3 linked regions of the Oryctolagus cuniculus genome follow. The protein of the gene in region 3 interacts with the protein of the main gene of each other region in a pairwise test. Links are inferred from orthologs where the notes say so. Each region holds a gene or a part of one and is shown on either strand. Other genes may lie near its edges.

Region 1 (4,093 bases), on a different chromosome or scaffold from region 3:
AACGACTGGCCTAATTAAAACTTTAATAGTCACACGCATCTTGGCAAGGTGGTCAAAAACTAAACTGATTACTTGAAAAAACTAATACTTTCACACACACATATTTTTAAAGCTATACTGCTCCATATGAGAAAGGGCACCATGGACTGGGAACAGCAGTGGCACTTATTTAGCAGAGAAAACTACTTGCTCCGAGCGTTTTAGCAGGCTTTTGGTTTGAGAATCCAGAAATTTAGATTTTAAAGACCTATGTCTGGGCTGGTGCCGCGGCTCACTTGGCTAATCCTCTGCCTGCGGCGCTGGCACCCCGGGTTCGAGTCCCGGTTGCTTCTCTTCCAGTCCGGCTCTCTGCTGTGGCCCCAGAAGGCAGTGGAGGATGGCCCAAGTGTTTGGGCCCCTGCACCTGCATGGGAGACCAGGAGGAAGCATCTGGCTCCTGGCTTTGGATCGGCGCAGCGCCGGCTGTAGCGGCCATTTGGGGGGTGAACCAACGGAAGGAAGGCCTTTCTCTCTGTCTCTGTCTCTCTCACTGTCTGGCAGAAAAAAAGAAAAAAAAAAAAAAAGACCTATGTGTGCACCTTTCTTAGGGGGAATTTTGGCTAAATTTAGATACTGTATTGATTCCCAACTTCCAAGCAATAATGGAAACTCTGGCGTTAAGCCCTCCAGGTGAGAACGAGCTCTTCAAGGTGTCTAACCACGCAACACGCAGCACGTGGCGGGCACAAAATGTCTGACTCGACCCCGACACCCGCCAAAAGGCCACCCACCCAACTCGGGGTTTCAGGGCGCCACCACGCGCGCCCGCTGACCTCAAGGCCTGCAGGTAAACAGCCCGGTCGGCCGATCCCACCAAGTGTGCAACTTGCTAACCACAGCCACCTGAGCACCCGCCACGCGGCCTCCTGCCGCCAGCGACTCACCCGCCGCGGGCTCGGGCGGCCGCGCGCCGCCTCTCCACGCGGGGGCTCGCGCTCGCTGCGATACAAGAGGCGACGCTCCCGGGCCGGGCCCACGCACACGCAGCAGCGGCCCGAGGCCGGCCGCGGCAGGCCGCACCCTGGCACGTGCGGGGGCACAGGCCACCGCACGGCCCTGCGCCGGCCCCAAGACCGCGCGAACGCCCGCGCGCCAGGCCTGCCGTTGCCCTTTTAAGAAGGGGGGAGGGCGCCGGCAGCGCGCCCGCGAGGGGACGAGTCGGCTGCAGCCGTAGCGCGCGGCGACCGCCAGTGCGAGCCGAGCCCCGGCGGGACGGGACACACCGAAGGCTCGGCCCGGGAAAGCGCGGCGGGCGAGGGCGAGCGGGCCGCGCCGGAGCTCCGAGCCGCTCGGCCGGCCGCCTCACGCGGCGGAGGGAGACGGGCGCCCGCCAACATGGCGCTGTGGCGGCCTGTGGCGCGCCCGGGCTGGCGCGAGCGGCCGCCGCCCGCCCACACCGAGGGGCCAGCCTCCCGGGGCAGGGGCCCCCGGGCTCCGCGGCGGCGACTGCGACTGCGACGGCGGGGGTGGGGAGGGCCCGGCCGCCGCCACAACGCCTGCCCGTGGCCCGCCCTGAGGGGGCCGCAGGGAGGATGGCTGAGGGCGTCTCAAAGGAGAGCGAGGGCAATGGGGGAGAAAGTTTTATTTTTAGGCTTGAAAAATGGCGGGAACCGCGTCCTTTTTTCAAACTTGGCCTCGGGAGGGGCGGCGGTTGCGCCACCTCCGCCGCCCAGGCCCGCCCCTCCCCCGCTCCGCGCGCCAGGCCGCGCCCGCCCGGGCCCCCCAGCGCCCGAGGGGGCTTCTGGCCCCCTTCAAAGGAGCAGAGCCCCCTTGCTCGCCCCCGCGGCCCCTGCCCTCGGCCGGGCCGACGCCAACCGCGAGGCCCGGCCGGCGCAGCCCCCCGCCCTGCCCGCCGCCGGCTCCCGCTCCCGGGGCCGGCCCGGGGCGTGCGGAGTCCGGCGTGGCCGGCGGCGGGCCCAGCCGGGGATGGCCGCGCGGCTCCCGGGCAGGCCCGCCTCCGCCCGGCCGCGCATCCCGGGAGGCTGCAAACATGGCTCCCAGCGTTACACAACCCCCCGCCTCCTTCTCTCGCCGCCGGCCACACGCACACGCGCTCCCTCCGGGAGAGGACCCCGGCGGGCGAGGAGCTCAAAGTTTGCGCTCCCTCACCCCGTCGCCTTCCCCGGGCGGCCGCGAGGGCCCGCGGGCGCCAAAGAGTTAATCCCCGCGCGCTCGCTCCCCCCCTCCGCCCGCGCCCGCCCGCCCGCCCGCCTTCCCCGTCCCAGCCCGCGAGCTGCGCCCTTCCCCGCGCCGGAGCCCGCGAACCCGCGGCCCGGGGCCCCCGCAGGTGGCCACCATTACATGCAAGTCATCGGGGGGGAAAGGGCGCCCGACGGGGGCTCTGCTTACAGCTGCCGGGGTCCGGTTCCTCAGCTCCAGGTGGATCCTCCTCTTCATGTCCATGTTCCCCTCTTCCCCCCTCTTCAAACTTAACTTTCCGCGGCGGGGGCGGAGGGGGGAGAGGCGTCCCGGCCTGCGCAGCGAAGGCCGTCGGAAGGGGGTCTGCTCGCGGCGGAGGCCGGCGGCGCGGTCCCAGGCGGCGTGCGGCGTGCGGGCAAGGCGAGCGGAGCCCCCGGAGCCAAGTTACTCACGGGAGCGGAGAGAAACCATGGAGGGAAAAGGGGGCTGGAGCGCAGCGCTGCTCTCACTACCGCCGCCCCCGGCCGCGGCCTCGCACTGCGCTTAAACCGGCGACGCGGCGCGGCGGCTGCTCGGCTCCACTCGGCCCCGCGCGGCGCCGCTCGGCTCCGCGGCCGCGGCTGCTCCGAGGACGGGGCGGGGAGGCGCGGCGGGAGGGCGGGGCGGGGGCGGGGGGAGGCGCAGCCCCGGGGAGGGGAGCGACTTCCTCCCTCCCTCCGCCTGCACGTGGGGCGGCTGATGTAAGACCTTGCTCGGGGGCTTCTCCGCCTGCCGCCGGGCCGAGACCCCCGGCCCGCCTCGCTGTGCTCTGCGATGGGGTGGGGCAGGGCTGGCGGGAGGCCCTCCTGTCGGGGATCGGGGGTCGCGAGGGGCGAGTCGGTCCGCGGAGGCTCCCCCGACGCCCGCGGAGGCGCGAGATGGGCAGAGAACTCGGCGCGGGGGCCTGGGGGTCGCCCTTCCGTTCCACCCCCTCCCCCTGCACAATCGGGGGCCGACGGCCCGAACCCTGGCGCCTCCTGGGCCGGGTGGCGTCGGACGCGCAGCCCAGGACCCAGGGGTGGGCGGCATCGCGGCGGGCCCGAGCTGCAGCGCGTGGCAGCGGGCGGAGTTGGCCCCGGGCCCGGCCGCCTGCCTCAGCCTCAGAGCCGCCGAGCGTCCCCCCGCCGCGGAGGCTCTCCCTCGCTTTTCTGACATTTTGATGCCCGAGAGGACTTCCGAAGGAAACAATGAGCATTTCCGCGGGGCGGCGTGGGGGGTGGGGGGGGCCTCGCAGTTACACCGTTCTCCCCGCTCACGTCTAGCGCAGTTACAACCTAGGGCCCCCCGTGAGGCACGCCGAGTCTCGGTGGTATCCATTTTGGTGACGCCTGTCAGGCCGCCTTTGTCATGCTCCGGCTCCAGGGGTCCCACGGTTAGAGCCCCAGGTCCGGGCCGTAGAGTTATACTCAGCAGAAAGTAAATAAACAGCATGGTATGTGCAGTCGGATACCTTCTTATTTCTAGTGTGGACAAGAGGCAGTTTTTTACAGAAAAAACTCCATGCATTAACTGAGATAGTTTTATGGGACTGAAGCCCCTTCCCCCGTGGTTTTACCCAAGTGGCAGACTATAAATAGCCCAAACTTAGTTTTGAAGCAATTACATATCAGTTTTTATGATAATGAATTCTCATTTCAAGAGGACGTTTTAGAAGGATTACGGAAAGAGGCGAATCTTCCCAGTTGGGAGTTTCCTCCTCTCCTTGTAGTCTCAGCCACACAGCCGTGGAGAGGGAAAGTGGAGAGGGGTGTGCTCCTCGGGAAGGCACCTGGGGACCTGTCATTGGGAACCAGGCAATGAGGGCTTTTATCAAAAAATTACAGGCAGCTACCAAGCATGCACCTTTAGGGGCTTGCTACGTTCTTTCTCGTGTTAT
Region 2 (4,303 bases), on a different chromosome or scaffold from region 3:
GCCAGTACCTAGGAATTCTTTTTAATGCCACCCTAAAAACACATGGTCAAGTTCTGCTGTTCATGCTTGTCACACAAACAAAAACAAATGCAGCAGCAGACATAATTCCTTGCTGACCTGTTCCGAGACACAGGTCTACTTAAGCAAGCACTCTCCTGGCCATTAACCAAGACCTCCACCAGAGGGCAGGAGAGGGAGAAGCTGGAAGGGTCGGTCCCGCTTGCTATTACGGTTAGCGCGGCAGGCAGAAGGGGGTCGAGCTGAGAGCGCTGACAAAGCAGAACTTTTCCCTTCCACCTGGGACCCACAACGCGTCCGAACATAATCGCGATCAATGCAGCTGCTTCCATTTTCTAAAATATCTGTCAAGCCGTGGATCGCTGATGCGTTCCAAATGCCCAGACCGGCCCGGCCCACAGCAGGCACTATCTCGGCTGCTCAATCAGTGACCTGGACTAAGACCTATTTCAGAAACACCGCAAGGGGCCGGCAGGTAAAACCGCAGCCTGCAGGGTCGGCACCCCACCTGGGCGCCGGTTTGAGCACCGCTGCTCCTCTTCCCATCCAGCTCCCTGCTCCGGTCTGGGACAGCAGTGGAGGATGGCCCAAGTGCCTGGGCCCCTGCACCCGCGTGGGGGACCCGGAAGAGGCTCCTGACTCCTGGCTCCAGCTTAGCTCCTGCCACTCTCTGTAACTACTTCAGTTAAATAAAAATAAATCTTTGGAAAGAAAAAAAACACTACAAGGTGCTGGCATTCCACTTCTGTTTTCCAGCTGTGAGGCCTGGGCGTGGGAATTTTTGACTCAGGTTCTTTACCTGATCAAATTAACAGGAAGTTATGAGGGATGGATGAGATGAAAGAAAAAGCTTAGTTAGAAAAGCTCCTGGAGCCAGGGAAGAGCTCGTACTTGTAAGGACAAAGCGTGGGGGCCGGCGCCCGGCACAGCAGGTGAAGCGCCTCTTCTGAGCCGGCTCCCTGCTAGCACCCGGGTGCTGGGCCCCTGCACCCACGTGGGAGACCCGGAAGAAGCTGCTGGCTCAGGACCGCCCAGCTCTGGCCTCTGGGGCCATCTGGGACGTGAACCGGAGATGGAAGATCGCTGTCTCTCCCCCTCTCTTTAACTCTGGCTTCCAAGTAAAAATAATCTTAACCCGAATTTTGCTTCCCAGCCTGACGCTTTTGGGTGACGCAGCCGGAAGAAGCGGGCAATCCCGCAACAGGCCTGCACACCAGGTGCCTTCCGGCCACCGCTATTTTTTGGTTTCAAAAACGTTTGCCCAGGTACGACAGACTCCGAGACATGAAGCCGCGTCCACGGTAACTGGGAAAAGTCCTGTGGTCGCCCCTCCCGGAGCAGCCCTGCCCGTGGAGCCGGGCTCGCGAGGTGCCCGCAGCGTGGCAGGGACAGAGGTGCCGGGCAGAACCCAGACTCGGAACCGCCTCCCCGCGGAAGTCCGGCCCGGGCACGCAGCCCACAGCAGCAAAGGATGGGGCTGGAACACCCGGGACCCCGGCCCTCAGCGGGAGGGGGACGGCGAGGCCCCGCGCCCGAGCCCACCGCGCAGCCCCGGCCCGCTCCGCCTGCCCACCGGCGTCCTCCTACCTCCGCGGGGACCCCGCGCCCCAAGCCCACCGCGCAGCCCCGGCCCGCTCCGCCTGCCCACCGGCGCTCTCCTACCTCCGCGGGGACCCCGCGCCCCAAGCCCACCGCGCAGCCCCGGCCCGCTCCGCCTGCCCACCGGCGCCCTCCTACCTCCGCGGGGGCCGCGGGGATCCCGCGCCCGAGCCCAGCGCGCAGCCCCGGCGCCCCCGAGCCGGCCCTGCGCCCCAAGCCCACCGCGCAGCCGGCGCCCTCCTACCTCCGCCGGGGCCCGCGCCCGAGCCCACCCCGCAGCCCCGCGCCCGAGCCCACCGGCGCCCTCCTGCCTCCGCCGGGGCCCGCTCCGCCTGCCCACCCCGCAGCCGGCCCTGCGCCCCGAGCCCACCCCGCAGCCCCGCGCCCGAGCCCACCCCGCAGCCGGCCCTGCGCCCCGAGCCCACCGCGCAGCCCCGCGCCCGAGCCCACCCCGCAGCCGGCCCTGCGCCCCGAGCCCACCCCGCAGCCGGCCCTGCGCCCCGAGCCCACACCGCAGCCCCGCGCCCGAGCCCACCCCGCAGCCGGCCCTGCGCCCCGAGCCCACCGCGCAGCCCCGCGCCCCGAGCCCACCGCGCAGCCGGCCCCGCGCCCGAGCCCACCCCGCAGCCGGCCCCGCGCCCGAGCCCACCCCGCAGCCGGCCCTGCGCCCCGAGCCCACCGCGCAGCCCCGCGCCCCGAGCCCACCCCGCAGCTGGCGCCCTCCTGCCTCCTGCCTCCGCGGGGGCCGCGCCCGGGCGGGCCGCACTCACGCCGGGCGCGGGCGCCGGCCCCGAGAGGCGGCTTCACAAACAGCCCCGGCCGCGTCGCCGCTGCCACCCGCCCCTCCCTGCGCGGCTGCCGCCCGACGCCCCCTCCTCAGGCCGCCCCGCGGCCCCCCGCCCCCGCTCCGCACCTCGCCGGCGGCCGCCGCGGCTCCCGCTGGGTCGTGGGCGCGGCGCGGAGCGGGGCCGAGGTCGCGGTCGCTGCGCCCGGTCGCTTCCGGTGCGCTGGGAGCCTCGGAGGACTTCGTGGTCAGCAAGCCGGCAGCCCAACACCATGTCCCCCGGGGGCCTCGCCTCTCCGCGCTCCGCAGCGAGGGGACAGCCGTCTCTTCAGCCCGAGACCGCCGGGATCACAGCCCCCAACGCGCCCCGGGACGCCATCTTGTAACTCGAATCTACCCCTCAAAACCAATTCGAAAAAAATGAAAGAAACGCCCGCGTCCGGCTAGTGCGCAAGCGCACGGGCGCCTCCGCCAACAGTTCCTCCTTCGCCGGCCTGCGGTTGGGGGGTTGGGGCGCCGCAGGGCGCATGCGCACAGCTCCCTGGAAACCGTCCGCCGGAGGAACGCGCCCGCCCCACGCATGCGCGCCGCCTCAGCCGCGGAACCCGCGCCCGCGTCCTCGGGTCACGTGTCGCCCGGCGCTTGAGGCCGGCTGGCCTGACGCGCTCGCTGCTGAGGTGCCGGCCGGGCTGGCGCTTCCGGAGTGGCTCGAGAGCGCGTGGTCAGTCACTGGCGGGAGCGAGGCCCGTGGAGCTCCCGCGTGGGGGGCTGGCGGGCGCGGGGAGCCGGCCGCGGCCACTTCACGGCTGGCGCGGGCCTGGGGCTTCGTACCCCCGCCTGCGGCGCCCTCCGTGGTGGGGCGGCCCGGGGGCGTTGGGTCGGGGGGTGAGCTTGCGGGGCGGCGCGGCCGTTGTCGGCCCCCGCCCTCGGCAGGAAGGCCGTCTGGGATCAGGCCCGCGTCAAGATTCGTTTATTTTAAAGAGTGACGCCCAGAGAGGTCTTCGTCCGCCGGGTCACTCCGCAGGTGGCCGCAGCGGCCGGAGCTGAGCCGATCCGGGGCCAGGAGCTTCTTCGGGGTCTCCCCGGGGTGGGGGGGTGGGCAGGGGTCCGAGGACTCGGGCCGTGGCAGAGCACTGGATCGGCAGAGGAGTGCCCATGTGGGATGCCGGCGGGTTAACCCACGGCACTACGCCCCCCCCCCTTTTTTTTTGCTAACAGAATTCACAGGGCAGACCCTTCAGGATGTTGTAGAACCCATCGCAGCCATCCCCCTGTGGTGGCTGAGCGGGGCGGAGCCCAGGGCTCGTCCCAGCCCGGCGTCGCCTTGCGCGCGCTGCGTGAACGACGCTGAGTGCCCGCTGTTGGAAGCTGCACGGGGCGCCGCAGAGCCACGGCTGTGCCCTCGCCTCGCGGTCCTCCACCTGGTCCTCCACCTCAGTGCCTGTCAGCAGCCCTCGTCGCACCTCCGCCCCACGCCCGGCCTCCCTCCTGCTTCTCTACGTCCTCATCCTCGCCCCGTCTGGTAGCCATCCCGCTTTCTTCCTGTATTTCAGCCACTAGGATCCCTAGAACTGCCCTTAGTGGGCAGTAGGCACTCACCTGTCCACCACACGGGTCAACCCTTCTCTTCATTGAGACAAACGTCGCATTCCAAGTTCCTTTCTAACGAGTGACTTGTGGATCTTTGTTTGATTCTGTGTGAGGCTCAATCATCCCAGCTGTTTTTAGTGCTTGCTTACAAATTGGATGATGATTTTCAACTTAAATAGATGTAATCACTAGTCAGCTTGCTTTATGGTCTCTAGGTTGTTACCCATGTAAGAGACAGCTAACAGTAAGGGTGTTTTTTTTTTTAAGGTTTATTTATTTGAAAGGCAGAGCTACACACAGAGAGAGAGAGGT
Region 3 (4,340 bases):
AATTATTTGTTTAAAAAACAAACAAGTCTAGCGAGTACCGGGGTCTTAAGAAGAATGTCTCTAAGGTTTGTATTTTATAGAGAACAATAAATAAGAAAGTGTCTTGGATGGTGGTATTTTTTTTCATGGTCCCTTTTGGGAGGGATCTTCAAAATGCCCATGGAAAGTGCTTATCAAAGAAAAAACTATGAATGTATTTCAAAGAAATTTAATGTTTAGTTATTCACCTTCATCTACTTGAAAGGCAGAGTGACAGAGAGAGGAAGAAACAGAGAGATCTTCCACACACTGGTTCACTCCGCCAACTGCCAGGGCTAGGCCAGGCTGAAGCCAAGAACCAGGAACTCCATCCTGGTCTCCTACAATGGTGAAAGATCTCAACACTTCAGCTACCATCCACCGCTTCCCAAGATGCACTATCAGGAAACATGGCAGCGGATACTCAAACCAGCACTCCAACATGAGATGCAGGTGTTCCAAGGAGCAGCTTAACCTGATGTGCCACAATGCTCACCCCTCAAACTCTTTTTGTAAAATCAATCTTTTAATTCCATCTTTTCATGAAATCTTTGGAAGCATTCACATATTAACTCTAGATAAAGTCAAAGAACGGAATATTAAATCATGCTTCTGTGAAAAAACGCTATGAGGACCACTTTAGAAAATAACACAATGTCGTACTGACTTCAGGCGATGTGTTTATTTCTGTCATTTAGTTTACTCTAAGTTTCTCTAAATGTATGCTTTGTTTTCCTACAGGCTAATTTTCCTCAAGGCTTATTTTGTCTGCTTCCATTTGAACTTCCTTTGCTATTTAGTGGTTTACAAATCTGCTCAATTTTAATGACTGATAAAATGCCATGTAGTCAATACCTGCATTAGTTACTTGTTAGCCTTCTCTGCTACTCTATCAATTTCATGAAGTCAGAGATAAGTGTGTCATGATCATTACTACATCTTTAGTGTCAGTCACATAAATCGCTCCACAGAATGAATGGATTAAATCGAAAAACACAACTCAGAAGTTATGAAAGGAGAGAACCAATTCTTAAAATGGCAGTGACTTTGGGTTCTAAGGTTAGTCCCAATGAGTGCTGCCTCTTAAACAAGTTACTTAACTTCTCTGACCTTCAATGCCTTTTCATCTGTAAAGCAAAAAAATTTAACAGCTACTCAAAATTTACTATGGGGTGGGCCTTGTGGTGCTGGTAAAGTCACTGCCTTGGCTGCCTTGGGGACCCGGCTGCTCCACCTCCCATCCAGTTCTCTGCCAATGGCCTAGAAAAGCAGTGTAGGATGGCCCAAGTGCTTGGGCTCCAGCACCCACGTGGGAGGCCAGGAAGATCCTGGCTCCAAGCTTCAGCCTGGCCCAGCCCTGGCCATTGCAGTGTGTGTGGATGGAAGATCTCTCTCGCCCCCGCACCCTCCCGCAGCTCTTTCAAATCCATACACAAAAATCTTTATAAAAATGTTAAGAATTGTGTACATTACACAGAAAGGAGTTCAATAAATATCAACTCCTTTACTTTCTCACGCCCTCCATCCTAAAATCATACACAAAACAGTGTCAAGAATAAATTATTTCAGTAAAAGTCCAATAGCGCTCATCCTCACTTTCCTTTGAAAAATCAAATTTTCATCTCTTCAAAATCTATAAGGGGGGTGGGACAATAACTTGTGGAGTACTTCCAAAATATTAGAAATGCAAAAAAAAAAGTTAAGAAAATAATGTCAAGAATGAGGCTTGAAGCAGCAACAGGGATGGAAAAATCGCGTTATCTGCCTCCCTTACATAGTCAAGATTTTGAAGGGGCCGTTTACGAAACACGAACGGAAAAGCTACCTAATAACTAGCAGGCTCTGGAACGAAAACATTTCGCGACTGTTGAATTTAGACCTTAAAAATCAGAGACGACTATTTTGAAACTTTCAAGTAACTTGAAGCACTCTCCGCCCGACCCCGCCGCCAGTGCCGGGCTCCCCGCTCGCACGCGCCGCGCAGCCCGAGTTCTGTCATTCCTATAATTACCACACCCCCGGCCGCCGAGCCGGCCCGGCCCTGCCGCGGTGACACCGGGAAACTGCAGTCGCCGGCCCCGGCCCCGCCCCGGCCCGGGTCCGGGCTCCAACTTGGGAACTCCGCACACGGAGCCCGCCCGGCCCCGCGGAAGGCTTTCACACGCATCTCTGCCCCGTCCTGCCTGTCATCGCGCTCCGCGCTCGCGCCCACCCGCGGCCCGCCCGCCCGTCCGCGCCAGGCGGCGGCGCAGGCTGCGCACTCGCCTCACGCCGCCCCGCCGCCTCGGCGTCCCGCAGTCCCCGGCGCCGCTTCCAGCCCCGCCGCCGCCGCCGCCGCTACCGCCGCGCTGCCCCGCCTCGACCGGCGTTCCCGATGGCGATCGCACCAGCGCTCCCCACCCCCACTCGGCCCTCCGCCGGCCGCGCGGCCGTTAGAAAGCCGGGCCCGTGACGCACGGACGCGCCGCAAGGGTTTGGGCGCAGGCACCCGGGCTGGAGCCCACGGCCGGCGCCTAACCTCGCCCCCGGGGCCTCTCCCGCGTCCAGCCGAGGACAGCCCGGATCCGCCGGCGGGAGGGGGAGGGGCCGCAGCCGCAGGGCCCCCAACTCACCAGGCTCTAGGCAACCGGTCCCGGTGCCACTAAGCTGAAGCGCTCACTCGCTCGCCCGCGCGCCGTGCCTCTCTCACGCGCACAACCTCGAGCAGCCGGTCCGCGCTTCGGCGGTGCCCACCAGGCCTCGCTCTCCGCCGCCGCGCACCGAGCAGCGAGACCCAGCTCAGCCGGCGTTCGCAGTGCGCCTGCGTGCGGGGGCCGGCCCGCGCGCCTGCGCAAGCTCCTCCACCACCCGCTGCAGTGGCTGCCGGGAGTTGTAGTCTCCAAACGGTCGCCCACCGGCAGTCCCCAGTGGTTGGCGCCCAACGGGTGAGGAATTCCCGGTAGAGGAGAGGGCTTCTAGGAGCAGGCTTGCAGCCTGGGAAAGGTTGGAGAAAGTGATGTCCGCAAACCTGTCTTTACTGATCTCTTCTAGGACGGATCGATCCTCACTCATCTCCGTCTACCCTCTAACTAGGCAGGTATCAATTTCAGTCCGTGTTTCTTGAATGACTGATGGAATGAATGAAGTGTTGTCAGCGCCTCAGGGCTTAAAGAGTTACCTTGTGGCGTGTTTGCAGGAAACTTCTAGGTATTCCTTCTTCAGTTCTCTCCCATCCTGTTTGCCTGAAAATATATGCATGACGTCAAAAATCATGAAGAAATGACTTGCTTTATTCTCAATAAGCGCTGTCAAACGGAAATTGTGGGGCAAATGACTCTCACTGTTAAATTTGATGAAATTCTTCTTTGGAGGAAGCAAATGGATTAGTGGCTTGTGGCGGGGGGTGGAGTGTGTGTGTGGAAGAGTAAGACTGCAGCCAGTCAAGCAGAGGTCACAGAACAGAAAAGTCTCACTGAGGTCCTAGTTTGCCAAACCAGTTTCAAACACACACTGAGGAGCCAGGTGGAAGAGCTGGGGTGGATTAATACATTTCCCGGTGTAGGGTGGGGAGAGAGGGGACTGCACTAATTGGAAGCTCAGTTATGCAATGCTCAGTTGTCCTGGATCTGTCTCTGCTGCCTCAGCATTCCCCCAGCAATGGTGTGTTTACTAGGACCAGGGCTGAGTTTGAGCCAGGTGGCTGGGGAGGGGGTGGTCTATGGGACAGAGCTAGAGACAAGTATGCATGACGGCAGCCGGGCTGAGGACAGCTCACCTTATCCCAATCAGGAGCTGAGGGTGGTTGTTGAAAGCAGAACCTCCGTCTTTGTGACTGTTCACCCTTACTCATAGCCAAGACATACATAGTCCTAGAGCACCCCGACCGAAAGTCTTGAGTGTTTATCAGGGCTCCTCCTCTTTGACAGAGCCTTCTCAGCTCCATGAGACAGCCGAAAGCTCTGCTCACTTTTTCAGCCACTGTTTTTAGAATCAGCAATCACCTCAGGTTTGGAAAAGTGAGGGCAAATGTCAGACTCGCCTCTCCTAGCTCTCCTCTCGTTCCACATCTTGCATCCAGAAATCCTCACTGCTTTAGCAGCTCTTCAGCGCATTAGCATGTTTGATTTTGCACCCAGGTTGTTCTCCATGGTGGAAGAGTTGGCCCAAAACGTTGTTGGAAGCATAATCCGTATATATTATGTGTCATATAAAATATTATATATAATATAATTATGAATTATCATTATTTTAAATTATAATTATTGATTATATGTTGTTTGCAAAAATGTTATCATCCCATATGTTGTGTTTTATAAACTAATGCTTCTCTAGCTCATTTTTTT

Evidence for each region. The genes of interacting proteins can lie anywhere in the genome.
Region 1: the proteins of KPNA1 (region 3) and ANP32B interact in binary tests that used the Homo sapiens proteins (3 or more experiments, as listed by UniProt). The link is inferred for Oryctolagus cuniculus from reciprocal best matches to the Homo sapiens genes KPNA1 and ANP32B.
Region 2: the proteins of KPNA1 (region 3) and NUP50 interact in binary tests that used the Homo sapiens proteins (3 or more experiments, as listed by UniProt). The two-hybrid records come from large-scale screens. The link is inferred for Oryctolagus cuniculus from reciprocal best matches to the Homo sapiens genes KPNA1 and NUP50.

Annotation. Positions count from the first base shown.
Region 1 is NC_091432.1:201,785,953-201,790,045, reverse strand, and holds the start of ANP32B (acidic leucine-rich nuclear phosphoprotein 32 family member B), read right to left. Parts: upstream 2,801-4,093; 5' UTR 2,443-2,800; coding exon 2,389-2,442; intron 1-2,388. UniProt on the Homo sapiens protein: Multifunctional protein that is involved in the regulation of many processes including cell proliferation, apoptosis, cell cycle progression or transcription.
Region 2 is NC_091442.1:119,913,197-119,917,499, reverse strand, and holds the start of NUP50 (nuclear pore complex protein Nup50), read right to left. Parts: upstream 2,801-4,303; 5' UTR 2,531-2,800; intron 1-2,530. UniProt on the Homo sapiens protein: Component of the nuclear pore complex that has a direct role in nuclear protein import. Actively displaces NLSs from importin-alpha, and facilitates disassembly of the importin-alpha:beta-cargo complex and importin recycling.
Region 3 is NC_091435.1:78,713,277-78,717,616, forward strand, and holds the start of KPNA1 (importin subunit alpha-5), read right to left. Parts: upstream 2,827-4,340; 5' UTR 2,631-2,826; intron 1-2,630. UniProt on the Homo sapiens protein: Functions in nuclear protein import as an adapter protein for nuclear receptor KPNB1. Binds specifically and directly to substrates containing either a simple or bipartite NLS motif.